Linked DNA regions of Neodiprion lecontei. The protein of the gene in region 1 purifies or fractionates together with the protein of each later gene. This does not show direct contact. Links are inferred from orthologs where the notes say so. Each region holds a gene or a part of one and is shown in the gene's direction. Other genes may lie near its edges.

Region 1 (7,369 bases):
ATTCTGTATTTACACCAATCGGAGTAGTCATTAGTGAGCCAAAATGCAGTGTTTTATTTAGACTCGCTGATTTGGAAGAGACGAAATTTAATTTATACCTATTTAAATATTATTTAGGCTTGTTTCGTATATCCTTTTGTGGAACATGACCTCAAGGGTTGTATATTGGGGATATTATCATTTTTGCATTATACAAATTTCGAAGCGGCAATATATATAGGTGCATAGTATGTAAACAAAACAATTGCAAACATTTATGATGAAATAGTCAATTTTACATAACACATTAATAGCTGTACGGTTTCTCTATCAAACAGATGTGTACAACTTAGTTTTGGATAATCAGCATGCATGACTGTGATGCCTTTCATATAAAACCTATTCCGAATACTTGTAATAGTACACAGCGATTAACTGACTACCTGGAACGAGAAATATTACACAATTAGATTAAGAGCACTTATTGGCATCTAGATAAGCTATTACGGTAAATAAGAGTTTTCGAGTTGAACATTTCGCAGTTAGTACGATCTCGATTGGCATACTTTCATACACATGATGGTATCCTATGTGCTCTCTCTAGAGGTTCTTCCAAAAATGTAGGGACAGGAGGCTAAACTCCCAAACTCAAACTTGTTCTCAAATTTTCAGATAAACTCATTAGCATGATTTCCTCCAGTTCATGTGTTCCTATCAAAGCATGATAACCTACAGATGAACTCGGAAAATGGAGTGAATGGTCGTTTTAATCAGTTTACTGATTTTGGATTTTTTTTCGATTTCACATGTCGATACAGAGCACATATAATAAGTGCGGCCATAGAGGCAATCTGTATTATTGTGTCAATGTTCAAAAATAAGGTCTAATCTTGTAAAAAATTTGGTCAAGTCGAGCCTCTTATCGTTGCTTTCTTAGATTCTTCTGTGAACAGTGTTCATAACTTACTTGACAATGCTCACTGTGATCGTGCTTCTAAATAATGTTCAGCTTTGTTGAAACGTTCAAGCGCAGTCAAACTTCTTCAAGTTATTATATATAATGGCACACTTTTGTGATGCATTCAGTCTTAAAACTAGTCATCTACTACGTAGAAATTCTTCACAATCTAATCTATTATACTTATACATATAATAACCGATATGTTAATTATTATAGTAAATTATATTAGTTTAGTACAACTTTTATTATTATTATCATTATTATTATTACCATTTATCTATGAACATGTTGAAACATTTTTTCTGTTTTGTTACAAAAAAAACAAAAATAAATGAATGAAGAATGCCTTTTTTGTCATTGTGTAGTTGAGTAAGACAACACTTTTTTCAACCAGTGAATATAATGCAATTTTTATGCAGCATCAATTATCCAATGAAAATCAGTCAAAAATTCATTGTATCTTAATGGTATGTATTTACTATTTTATGGGACTTGACAAATTTTTATCATAACTTGGTTTCGTAAAATTGAAAATTATGAGCAAATGAAATTCATGGGGTGACAAATCGGATATGAGCACATTAATCATCACTTTAGGAGAATATTTGTAAGTTTTATCAAACAAATGTGTGCTCGAAAGACTGTTGGTTATTATGAATGAGAAAGATTTTATCTCGAGCACAGTTCACACCATGCTGAGGATATCAATGAATCAGCAACTTAAATGCTCTCCTGAACCTAAAATTATGTTGTATGACTAACATAGAAGTTTGCTTACCCAAACTCTATTTTTAGAATTCATACATTCACTACTTTTTGTTAGTTCCAAATTACACTTGTCGTACAAATGTTATGTAGCAATGGGTACATTGTTATATAAATTAACATTTGCAAATTGTCGGTTATACTTATATGTATAATTATGCGTACATATGCATTATTTTCTATGGTTTCTTATAGTATTGAGATAGATATTTGAATTATTAATCTATATCCAGATACTCATAGAAAACAGACATTAATATCAAAGCACTTGTGAACCTTTCAAGATTTGTGACATGAATAAACTTTTGCAGATCAGTTAACCTAAAATCTGAAAACACAGTTCCCATACATTGCTCAAGGGTGTAAAGTTAGAAAATTCAGATTCAAATAGCGGGTTTCAGGAATCTAGATAGCAGATACAAGATGCAAGATACTTTCCAAGAGTGCAAATTAGTGTAACATTGAGGTCACACAATCCCGGTAGAGGACGTTTGATATTGATATAGGGGAGGTTTTCAACGTATACGCGGTCTTCACGAGATCTATAATATATTTATTATTCAACATGACTAAAAAGGATTATGTAAATAAATCCTTACACCGGCACGCTTACGCAAATCTAGCGTTACCTGCTGGCAGGATTCTTTCCTTTGATCTAAATTACAGCAACCCATCATACATATTACACTAGTTACGCTAAAAAAGACTAAATATATATATATACACACACACACACACTTATATATATATATATACACAACGCTTTGTTGGTCGATTAGAAATAAGGAAACAAAGGGTATCGCGTAATTTTCTATTCAATTCATCAGTAATTTAGTTTCTTTTTACCATGTTTCTACGTATCGTGCATATCGCATGTTACACACAATAATGTATCTAGTCTACAGGCTCAGAATTCTGACCGGTAAACACGACAGGTCTATAATTTACAAAAAAATACGTATGTAACGCGGTGGAAGCTGCGTATAGGAAAAGACCTAAAACTTGGTAAAATCAATAATTTAGCTACGGTCGCGGGGCGAGGGCCCCGAACGAGGCGGGGCATGGGGATTGGGGATCAGGCAGGCAGGGGCGGCGGCGGGGGCGACGTCGTCGTCGGCCGTCGAGAAGAGGCAGGCTGGCAGGTCGCGCATGGCTGCCCGCGGCTCCGTCACGTCGGAGGCTCCCTTCATTTTTCCTTACTTTTTCACGGCGAGCGTTACTTCCTCGTAATTATTTGTCAGTACAGTTATTCGGGCGTTATACGGGTGCGGATACACACGTAGAGCCTGTCGCGACCTTACGACAGTCTAGCCGAGGTGTTAAAATAATTTCGCGAAGTATTCCTTTCCTTATTTCTACGAAATCGTCACCAGCTACCCACATACATGTCGGCCATTTTGCTGAACACTGGCCGTGATCTGACAGCGGTGTCTTAATGCAGTTTCCGCAGTCATTCCCCAACTTGTGCGAGGTTTTGGAGCACCTAATTAAATTAACTAAGTGCAATTCTTACCGTGTAGATTATTAATATTATAAACAACGATGGCCACCGATCAGCCGAGGGAGCGAGAAATCGCTGCCGAAGACAGCATTAAAGTTGTGTGCCGTTTTCGACCGCTCAATGACTCCGAAGAAAAGGCTGGGTCGAAATTCGTTGTCAAATTTCCAGCCGGCGGAGAGGAAAACTGTATTTCGATTGGGGTACGTCTCATAAATATCATCGATAATTCACCTAATCAGAGTCAACTTGGAGCATACGTTAACCTCAAAAAGTTATATTTCCACACGTTAATAATATGACAGAACTCAGCTGACAGCTGTCTAATTGTATTATAATCCTAATAAAACAATACCTGTCGTCAAAGTATAAACTCAAGCAACAATAGCCAGTGTCTGAAAATCCATTCTCATACCCCCAAGAATAACTATAAGCTTTGATTCTGCTCACAGTTTTCAAGAGTCTCTTCTCTTTCAGCTTTGTATTCTCTTTGAACTGACCTCCTCCCCTGTTGGCCCATTTATTTCTCATTGTGTCGACAATGTATTGAAAAATTGTGAAGACAAATATTCTGATGCATACCCAAATGTATGTCATGAAAGTAGATGTAGGAATATATCCTACCAAAGTACATGTACCTATATTGGTCAGGCGTGATTACGACTCCTTGACTAATTGATAATTAAACCTGCAATACACATATCTCTGACATGAGATCACATACTTGAGATAATGAAGAAAGCAGGCTCCTTCATTTTCTCATTTAATACTTACCATAGAGAAGTTAGGGTTCAGTCTTTGAATATGGCAAACACCTTTTTCGCAGTACTTACAATCACACCGACAGACTAAATAAATTCATTATTGGAATGGACAGTGAACCTTAGCTGTGATGTACTAATGTGAGATCTTCGACTTAGCTAGGCTCAATTAATTGAAAAATGCCATAAACTGTACCAGAAGCCTTATTTTTAGTTCACGTACTCAAATATAATGATGTTTGAGAAACACTATTGTGGAATTATTTTGCTTTAACTGTGGTAGAGATCTTCCAAATCTGGAGATAAAAAGTTAATCTACTGAGTCAAAAATAAAATATTTTAAGAGAATTGACTATGTAATCTCTTATTTATAATGAAATACCAAGTCTTTTGAACATCTGAAATCACGTGTTGTTCAGGACAGTGTAAATACTAAATATTGCGTAATGATTCCTCTAATCGTAATATGAAAAAGATTCATGACTACCTTTGACCTCTGTATTTACTTTTGAAAAAAATTTAATCGTTTAATGAGATGCATGGATTATTCACAGGGTAAAGTCTACCTTTTTGACAAAGTATTCAAACCAAATGCAACGCAGGAGAAAGTTTATAATGAGGCTGCAAAGTCGATTGTCTCCGATGTCCTGGCCGGATATAACGGGACAATTTTTGCTTATGGGCAAACATCATCAGGTAGATAATCAAAAAATGATATTAGCTTCTAATTTTCAATCGAGAGTAATATATATAGAAGTAATCAGATTTCGAAAATAGCTACAACATTTTGGAATTTCATATTGTACTTCGAAAATTTTACTGCGTTTTGAAAAAATTAAGACGTGTACATTTTCACATCTCGATTGAAATTAATTTTTTCAAGTGACACCAACGTCGAACCAAGTTAAAGTATCAGACTGAAATAGATAACGTTAATGTAATGAAACATCGAGAAAAAAATCATTATCATGCAATTTTAGAAATGAATTTCACGGACTTGACTTTGCAAAATAAGAGTATGATTTCTTTATCACGATTTACTAAATGTCAGGTATTTTTAAAGGCGCAAAGTAAAGATTTTTCCGAAACATGCATTGTTATAGTAACATTAGTAACTTAACACTCATGACAAAGCTCCAAGCTTACATACTCATTTCGTTCTTTTTGGTAATATTGTTTTTATTATCTGTTATTGTTGAGAAAACACAATTGTTGTGCGGTATCAAAACTCGTGCTTTCTGTGTGCGTAAATGTATGAAATTTTTGATAATTTTTCAGGAAAAACCCACACAATGGAGGGAGTCATCGGCGATCCAAACAAACAGGGCATTATTCCTCGCATTGTTAATGATATATTCAATCATATTTATGCTATGGAAGAAAATCTTGAATTTCATATTAAGGTCTCATATTTTGAAATCTATATGGACAAGATTCGAGATCTTTTAGATGGTAATTTTGCTTTACATTATTATAACACAAATTTGTCTTACATAAACAAAAAAGATCATAAATTTTTATCTAATTTTCATTTCACGGGAATGGTTTGTGATATTTAAAATGCTTTTCAGTTTCTAAGGTGAACCTTAGTGTTCATGAAGACAAAAATCGTGTACCTTTTGTGAAAGGAGCAACTGAAAGATTTGTTTCAAGTCCCGAAGAAGTATTTGAAGTTATTGAAGAAGGAAAATCGAATCGGCACATCGCTGTGACAAACATGAATGAACACAGTTCCAGATCACATTCCGTTTTCCTAATAAACGTAAAGCAGGAGAACCTGGAAAATCAAAAAAAACTTTCCGGCAAATTGTACCTTGTCGATCTTGCTGGATCTGAAAAAGTATGATTCAAAATAGGCCTTGCAACATGCATGATGTAGATCTTGAATAATCACAATATTTTTCTGGGTAGGTCTCTAAAACTGGTGCTGAAGGTACCGTACTAGACGAGGCAAAGAATATTAACAAATCACTATCTGCTTTGGGTAATGTCATATCTGCTCTCGCTGATGGCAACAAAACGCACATCCCTTACCGAGATTCGAAGTTAACAAGAATCTTACAAGAATCTTTGGGAGGCAATGCCCGAACTACCATTATTATCTGCTGTTCCCCTGCCAGCTTTAACGAATCAGAAACCAAGTCTACGTTAGACTTTGGTAGGTAACAAAACTCACCCCTTTAGTTATAAATTCCTTCTGCACTTGCTCATAATTCACATCGTTTTCAGGTAAACGTGCAAAGACTATCAAGAATGTTGTTTGCGTTAATGAGGAACTGACTGCTGAAGAATGGAAACGACGATACGAACGTGAGAAGGAAAAAACGGCAAGACTTAAGGGAAAAGTGGAGAAATTAGAAGCCGAACTGTCCAGATGGCGACAGGGTGAAACTGTAAAGGTCGAAGAACAAGTCAGTCTTGTCGAAGGTCCTGATGTTACCACACCAGTCGCTCCAATTATTGAAAGTAAGAACCCATTTAGTTCTAATTCTCTGATTAATTGTGATGAATGTCCATTCAATTTACCTGCCAATAGTGATATGAATATTCATAACTATAATCAAGTTTAAATACACGTTAAGTAAAAAGAATGAACACTTGGCGAAATTATGGGTAAGACAGTAAATAACCATCCTGTAAATACATTATCATATAAAATGCCAGTTTTGTGTACTAGCAGTTTTTTTTTGTCTTCGTAAGCATATTCATACTTATTTGATTATAAAGTATGCAGCTGCAGAAGTTTCTTACTGAAAATTTTTCACTCGTTAAAACAGCCAAAATTGACGATGGTCCCGTGCCAGCAACTCCTGGTGGCGGTTTAATGGCTGGATCGTTATCTAATGAGGAGCGACAGAAGCTAGAGGAAGAGCGTGAAAGGTTGTACCAGCAGTTAGATGACAAAGATGAAGAAATAAATCAGCATTCGCAGTATGTTGAGAAGCTGAAGGAGCAAATGGAAGAACAGGAAGAGTTAATTGCCTGCACCAGACGTGATTATGAGCAACTTCAGCAGGAAATGAACAGAATCCAACAAGAAAATGAAAGTGCCAAAGAAGAGGTGAAAGAAGTCCTTCAAGCTCTTGAGGAATTAGCTGTTAATTACGACCAAAAATCTCAGGAGGTATGTATTGTATGTTTATTATTATTAGCTGACAAAAGGTTATAACGTATTTGTGTTGAATAGGTCGAAACGAAGAATAAAGAGCATGAAGCTTTGTCAGAAGAGCTTCTTGCCAAACAGGCAGCTTTGAACACAACTGCTTCGGAGTTACAACAACTAAGAGACATGTCGGCTCACCAACGTAAACGTATCACAGAGATGCTAGCCAATCTTCTAAAAGACTTGGGAGAAATTGGTGTAGCTATTGGTGGTGATGAAAATCTTAAGGTGAATTAATTTAA
Region 2 (6,381 bases), on another chromosome or scaffold:
TGTGAGCTAATGTAATTTTATGCATTTACATACAGTTATTGCTGTGGACAGATTAATCCTCATGTGGGTTGCAATATTATCCACATGCATTTTCAATTATGTGCACGTCAAAATCTTTCAGAAATTGTCAGAGTAAAGAAATTTTTCGTTTCAAGTTGTTCTGAAAATAATCTTGGAAGTATAGCCTTCTAAATATTCCTCAAAACCATACCTAAATATCACCTTTCCGTCGAAATACAGAAAACTAAATTCGCGCCATAGGAATTTAGCGCCTAATAGCTGCTGACTTAACATACGTACCGGTACGGCGGGTTTCTGAATATAGGCGCCATCTGCCTTGCAGCTCACCGCCGGTATAGTTCTTGTCTTACCGACAGATTTCTGACAAGTCGGCTGAGCATTACAATTTTCGGTCATTCATTTACGCTTCAGCTACATGCTGTTAGATAGAGTCGCTTATTGACTAGTTTACCGCGGTGACATTTCGGTATAACGTTGCCCCGCGATTATGATATAAACGATGCTTCCCTAATTTGGTTAAAACATAAATACAAGATGTTTCGGTAGGCGAGTCAATTATTCACGTAAATAATCCGATTAACTATTAAAAAGTGCTGATGGATAGTTCTCAGCATTCGATATCAATTTTTCGCCTCAATATGCACCCTATTCAATTATATTTCCACTCACGCAAAGCACAACTTTGGTTTAAATCAAGCTGGTAAAACCAGAAAAAATAGTTCTACTATATTGGGTGAAATTGTTTATTCATCAGAATTTAAACAATGACAGTTCTACGTATTGCGAAACGGAAAACTTCGCTAATTATAAGCGACGTTATTTACGAAACGCTGTTGCAATTTGCAAGGGTTCGAATATTTCATTTTTTGAAGTAATCGGTACATCGTAGTATAATTAACAAAATTATGCCCAATTAGCCTTCGCCTTGCGCGAACGCAATATTATGTCAGTGGTCTTCGTTCTTTAATACACTTATGCACTCTCTGTTTCTCTGCGGTATACTTATATAGAGCATAGGAAAAATATAACTGGTTTGTGTTACGCTAAGCTTTGCACGTGCAACAGCGAATGTGAAGATTTTTTAAATATTGATAAACGAAGCGGTGAATGCGAGTGGAATGGTGATAAAAGGTATAGTGTAATTTTATTTTTATAAGTAATCATTTTGAATTCACATCAAATGGTAAAAAAATCGGCCCCTTATAAAGCGAGAACTAACGTTTCAATTATAAGCGCCATAGGCAGAGCAATGAATTTATATTGGCTATTGTCTTACGTTTCATTACGTGCGCCATTCGGCGATTTAATGTAAAGGTAAACATCGTCGACAGTCATATTGCGCACGATTCAAACGAGAAAGTTTCAACCTCATTTTGAAGCGTTCTAATTATAATAATACGCATATAGAACCAGCTTTGCACGAATGAAACTCAACTCGGTGTTGACAAATGAAAAAACGAAAAATACCGTCATCAATTCTATATCTTTATTGGCCCCTCTGGGACTTTACAATTTCCCTGAATCTTAAACTCTTTTACGATCTATATTTTCAATTCTAACTTAACAGCTTTAATATTTCCAGTACCACAATGATTGACTAAACAAAAAAAGAAGATCATAAAATATTTTTAGCGAATAATATGACCGGAAAAAAACGAGAATATAAACACAAATAGAAATGAAAATGAAAAGAATACGTTGACCTGCTTGGGAAAATTAACCGGATACACAAAGATTTTTGCACGTGAAAAATGTAACGAGCACGGAAGAGAAGGGCGGGAATGTTGTCTCTTGATACCTTTCGAGGTAATCGTAAGAGTTGATGTCGGATCGAAAGATATCTACGTATAGGTATGTATAATCGGGTAATCTTTTCGCGGAGGAACAGGAGAGCGGTCGTCAGGGAGGCGATGAGAGCCCCTCCCGTTACTCGCGTCGTGTTTCTCCTGACGGTCGGCATGGTAACGTCGAATCATCTGCCCCCCACTCCTCGCTCCAACATTCTCTTCCCCTCCTTGATTCAGTCGCCCTCCGAACGTCGGAGGAGCAGGATTGATACGGTCGTCGCGTAGGCTTCTTCTCCTCGTCCCTGTGAAAAAAAATACAACCTTACTTCAAGCTGAAGTGATTGTGTCTCTACCGGTGGCTTATCTCCCTGTCCGAACTGTGCCAAGTGGTTTATCATGAGGGACATGGCTGGTAAAATGGCCGAATTAAAGTTTGAAGCACCCCTGGCTCGCTTCGAAGAGGAGGAGACGTCCAGCCTCAAGAATATCAACTTGCTGACAGGTGCGGAATGGTCAATTTTATTTTTTCTCTCCTGCCTCGACCCTTTTCATTCCCCCCCTCCCCCCTCCTCCGCGTGTAAAGCGGCTGCTGACTGAGCTGAGCGGGTATTTGTTATTGTTCGCACTTTGCGTTGTTGGTTTGTGCTGAAGAATGAACTCCGTTTCATATGAGGCGGTAAAAAATCTCCTCGCGATCGGCTTTTGTTTCTTTATTTCAATCGCTTGAAGCTAGCCGCGAATCGCTATCCCCTCGACATAACATTCCCCGAAATGGACCGAAGTATTTATGAACAGCGACGATGCTGGTAGCTGGAATGAGGAAAGAAAGAGTGGAGAGAATGTTGAAAAGGATATCTTTTCGTCGCGAGAAAAGGATAAACGCGGTAGGGATGCGCCAAGTGATTCGGGGTCGAGAAGGGCCGAGATTCGAGCACACATCCACCTTTCGGAAAACCTTTTTAAAACAAAGTATGATCGGTCCGTGCCGCAGGTGCCGGCAGGTTGGCAGCGGCTACCTTGAGGCGCGCGATTTCGGTGAATTTCTTTAACATTTTTACGTTATGGTTACCCGCAGATGTGATCAGGGAGAATTTTACCGAATTTAAATACGATCTTCTTACGTTTATTTGCTTACTTTGTTATTTTTATTGTTGGACGAATACCTCCGTGAACTGACGGAGAAAAGTAACTAGTAGACGTGAAGATTTCACGAGACTGAAGTTAGCAACGTTGGTTAACGTATGAAAAACAAAACATTGCAAAGAAAATCTGTGGTGTCTGATGAGAATGACTTGAAATAGTTTCATTGCGGCTTACATGCGAACTGAATTTCGGAGAATTTTAAAATTGCGAAATCGCAATTTTTCGTTATAGAAAACGCGACGTCACATTAAGGTTACGAATTCGACCGCCTCGTGAAGTTTTCTGAACACACCCGATGGACACAAATTTGGGAAACGTCGAAATCCTTGGGAAAGTTGGAAAAAAATATGGAGATCAAAGCGAGGAATTCATTTTAATAATAATAATGATATTTATTGCGTTAGTAGGACAATTCCTTCTTATACACATAAGACAAGCAAACAGAACGAACCAACGGTCGCAATGATAAGATGCGGAAATATACACATAGAAGAATAGCATGATAGATAGGAAAGTTGAAAATAGAATAATAAAGTAGAACTGAAGACAAAAATATAATACGAAATTAAAAATAAATAAAACGACAGTAAAATGAATAAGATGTGCAAAATAAATGAAGTAAATAATATTGGCAAAAGTACGAGTACAATAAATAAATGAAATAAATACTGTGTATAGCGTAGAAAATTAATTATCTAGAAATTAAAGACATCAAATTCATAATTGCATCAAAGTATTTTTTATTACTACATCAATTGCGGAAGAATACAGTTTCCACTTTTGCTTCTATATAAAAAAGAATCAGAGAATAACCTGTGATAAAATTTTCGTTCCAGATTTTGTCGATCCACACCCTGTCAACTGAAACTTTTTATGTGAAATAATTTGCGAAACTCCGAGGTTTCGAATTATCTTGTTATACATGACCTGCATCCATAGTCAACACCATCCACTTATCCGCTGCTTATCTTACAGCCACGTAAATTGAAAAAAATTTCATGTACACGATACACAAATTCTATGGTAATTTATTCGTCCACGTTTGTTAATCACTGCGTCCGCTTACATCGTGTCACCGCAACAGCTATTTTTCACTTCTTCACTACAAATAGAGCGAAATTATCGGTTATATATCTACACACACGTGTACACCTAGTTACACCAGCCCGATGAAGACAAAGAGATGAGTCGCCTTTTTGATTGTATGTACCGGACAGCTGAAAAATGAGGCAATTGAAGGGGGCGACTCATTCATTCCCCGCAGCAATTGCAGCAGCTGCAGCAGCAGCAGTAGCAACACCACTAGAAGCAGTTTAAAAAAGAATGAGAAAAATTTCGTTACAATTAACGGTACTTCGAAATTGCGAGCATGATCAAAAATAACAGTAACGCACGATAACTTTTCTAGCTACAGCTGAAAAACTAATTTTCATTTTCGTTTGGTTATGAATAAAAAAAAAAAAAAAAAAAAAAAAATAGGTAGATACTGTGCAGCAGTAACCTGCACACACCTACGAATATCTCTCGTCGTATGTCACACTAAAGTAAAACTAAAGAGCTTGACCTATTCATAGCCACTATTGTGGGTCACGGTGAGGAGAGCTGAAACTGGGGATGTAAATCTTATAGTATATCCGTTGAATACACGCGCCTGTGAATGGAACCGCGTATTTTTTCTCGGCCGCCTTCCCTCGGGTTATCGCCGCTTATCGCAGGGCAAACGACTACGCATCCTCTCCGGTAGTCTAGCGTGTAGATATAAGGTACGTACGTACTTACGCATGCTGCCTCTGCATGCAGGCTGCAGCTTAAATGCCGCCGCCGCCTGTTTGTGAGAACCGGACGGCGCGAGCCGAACACATTAACCTTTCGTTCCTGCTCCCGTTTAATCTACGCCTTTAGTGTCAACGCCTACTAATCGTCGTCGTAGCGATAAACCCTTCCTAATGTAAATCCCCAACTTGTCAGGCATGCCCTGCCGTTAAATATAATATAGAGATGAGATCAAGACTTCAATGAGAAGACAGATTCATTGAATTCGTGTGTAGAATATGTGTAATAATGCACGACGGTCAACGACGATTCCATCCATGCTCACCTAAAGTTTCACCTAAGTTTCACATGAATGTCACTTTCTTCTTATATTGCAGAGCAACTATTGGACGCGAGTCTTGAGGCGAATTTTGGCGAAAATCGTAACGCCAACGAGACCGGAACCACCCGTGGCAACGGTGTTGATATTCTCCAGGAAGGAACGTTCAGTCCGTTCAGCGGCAGTCTCGAGGATCTCGTTAATACATTCGACGAAAAAATCACATCGTGCTTTCGAGATTACGGCACCGATGTCGAGTCCCTCGCCCCGGTCCAAGTACGAACGCAAGAGGAGATCATGAACGAATGCCAGTAAGTAAAAAAACTTGCAATTTTATCCTATCGCATCATAAAACATCATGCAACACGTTCATCGTCACATCAAGGTGTTCTCTCGATTCTTTTATCCAAAATCTTTTTTCTGAGAAACCCAATTTTTTTTTCACTTTCTCTTATCGCTCTAATCTGTGTACAATATGAGTCAGTGAGTCAAATGTGCGAGGGTGGATCCTACAACGGATGACTTCATTGCAATAGCTAAGCCACACCGATCGTAAAATTCGCGTGCCAATATGGAATTTATATAATAAACTATAATACTCATATTGTGTACATATTTACTCATATATATATAGATATACATATATATATATATATATATACACATACGCTATATTAGGCGAGAAATGATCTACTCCAAAAAACTCGGTAAAGACGATGTATACATACATATATATATATATATATATTATACAACCTGTCCATTTGGAATTAAAATATTTATACGATGCGAATTATTCCTCCTGATGTTTCGCAGCTGTAAACAAGGTGCGATATTTTTTTCCGTTTATGTTATGATAATGATAGTCGCGGACTTGATGTTGTCGGGTTTAAAATGGGGTTAAAATTAAAATCGATGGTATACCGATAGACTTTGGTAATGAACAATATTTTCTAAAGTGTTACGCATCGCTAATCTCGCCCCTGCGTAATGCGATAATGCAAACCGTGTATGCGGACATTATTCACTCGACTGTACGGGCTTCGGCTTACAATCAGGCTAGCTATGTACGCGTGTTTATACATACACCGTGTTGCATACACTTCACTCAGTACATAGGACAAAATCTATTCTTTATATGTGTATACATACATACATATGTATACGCAAAAAGATATTTTACGGCTTGTTGCGTTCCACCTGCAACCTTCCTGCTCATCTTTTTCCTGCCTGGCTAGTCAGTCGGCCGTATTATGTTATTATATAATACCTACAATATCTGTTGTATATCAGTCGGTTGTATACATTACATGTATACCTAAGTTCTATCTAGGGATT

The links. The genes of interacting proteins can lie anywhere in the genome.
Region 2: the proteins of kinesin heavy chain (region 1) and fasciculation and elongation protein zeta-2 purify together in Drosophila melanogaster (affinity purification with western blotting; 3 studies listed by BioGRID). This does not show direct contact. The link is inferred for Neodiprion lecontei from reciprocal best matches to the Drosophila melanogaster genes Khc and Unc-76.

What each region holds. Positions count from the first base shown.
Region 1 is NC_060261.1:40,098,727-40,106,095, forward strand, and holds the start of kinesin heavy chain, read left to right. Parts: upstream 1-2,826; 5' UTR 2,827-3,247; coding exon 3,248-3,406; intron 3,407-4,518; coding exon 4,519-4,660; intron 4,661-5,242; coding exon 5,243-5,416; intron 5,417-5,535; coding exon 5,536-5,804; intron 5,805-5,875; coding exon 5,876-6,122; intron 6,123-6,193; coding exon 6,194-6,430; intron 6,431-6,741; coding exon 6,742-7,088; intron 7,089-7,151; coding exon 7,152-7,355; intron 7,356-7,369. UniProt on the Drosophila melanogaster protein: Kinesin is a microtubule-associated force-producing protein that may play a role in organelle transport. Milt and Miro form an essential protein complex that links Khc to mitochondria for light chain-independent, anterograde transport of mitochondria.
Region 2 is NC_060265.1:20,723,371-20,729,751, forward strand, and holds the start of fasciculation and elongation protein zeta-2, read left to right. Parts: upstream 1-2,026; 5' UTR 2,027-2,204; coding exon 2,205-2,310; intron 2,311-5,101; coding exon 5,102-5,354; intron 5,355-6,381.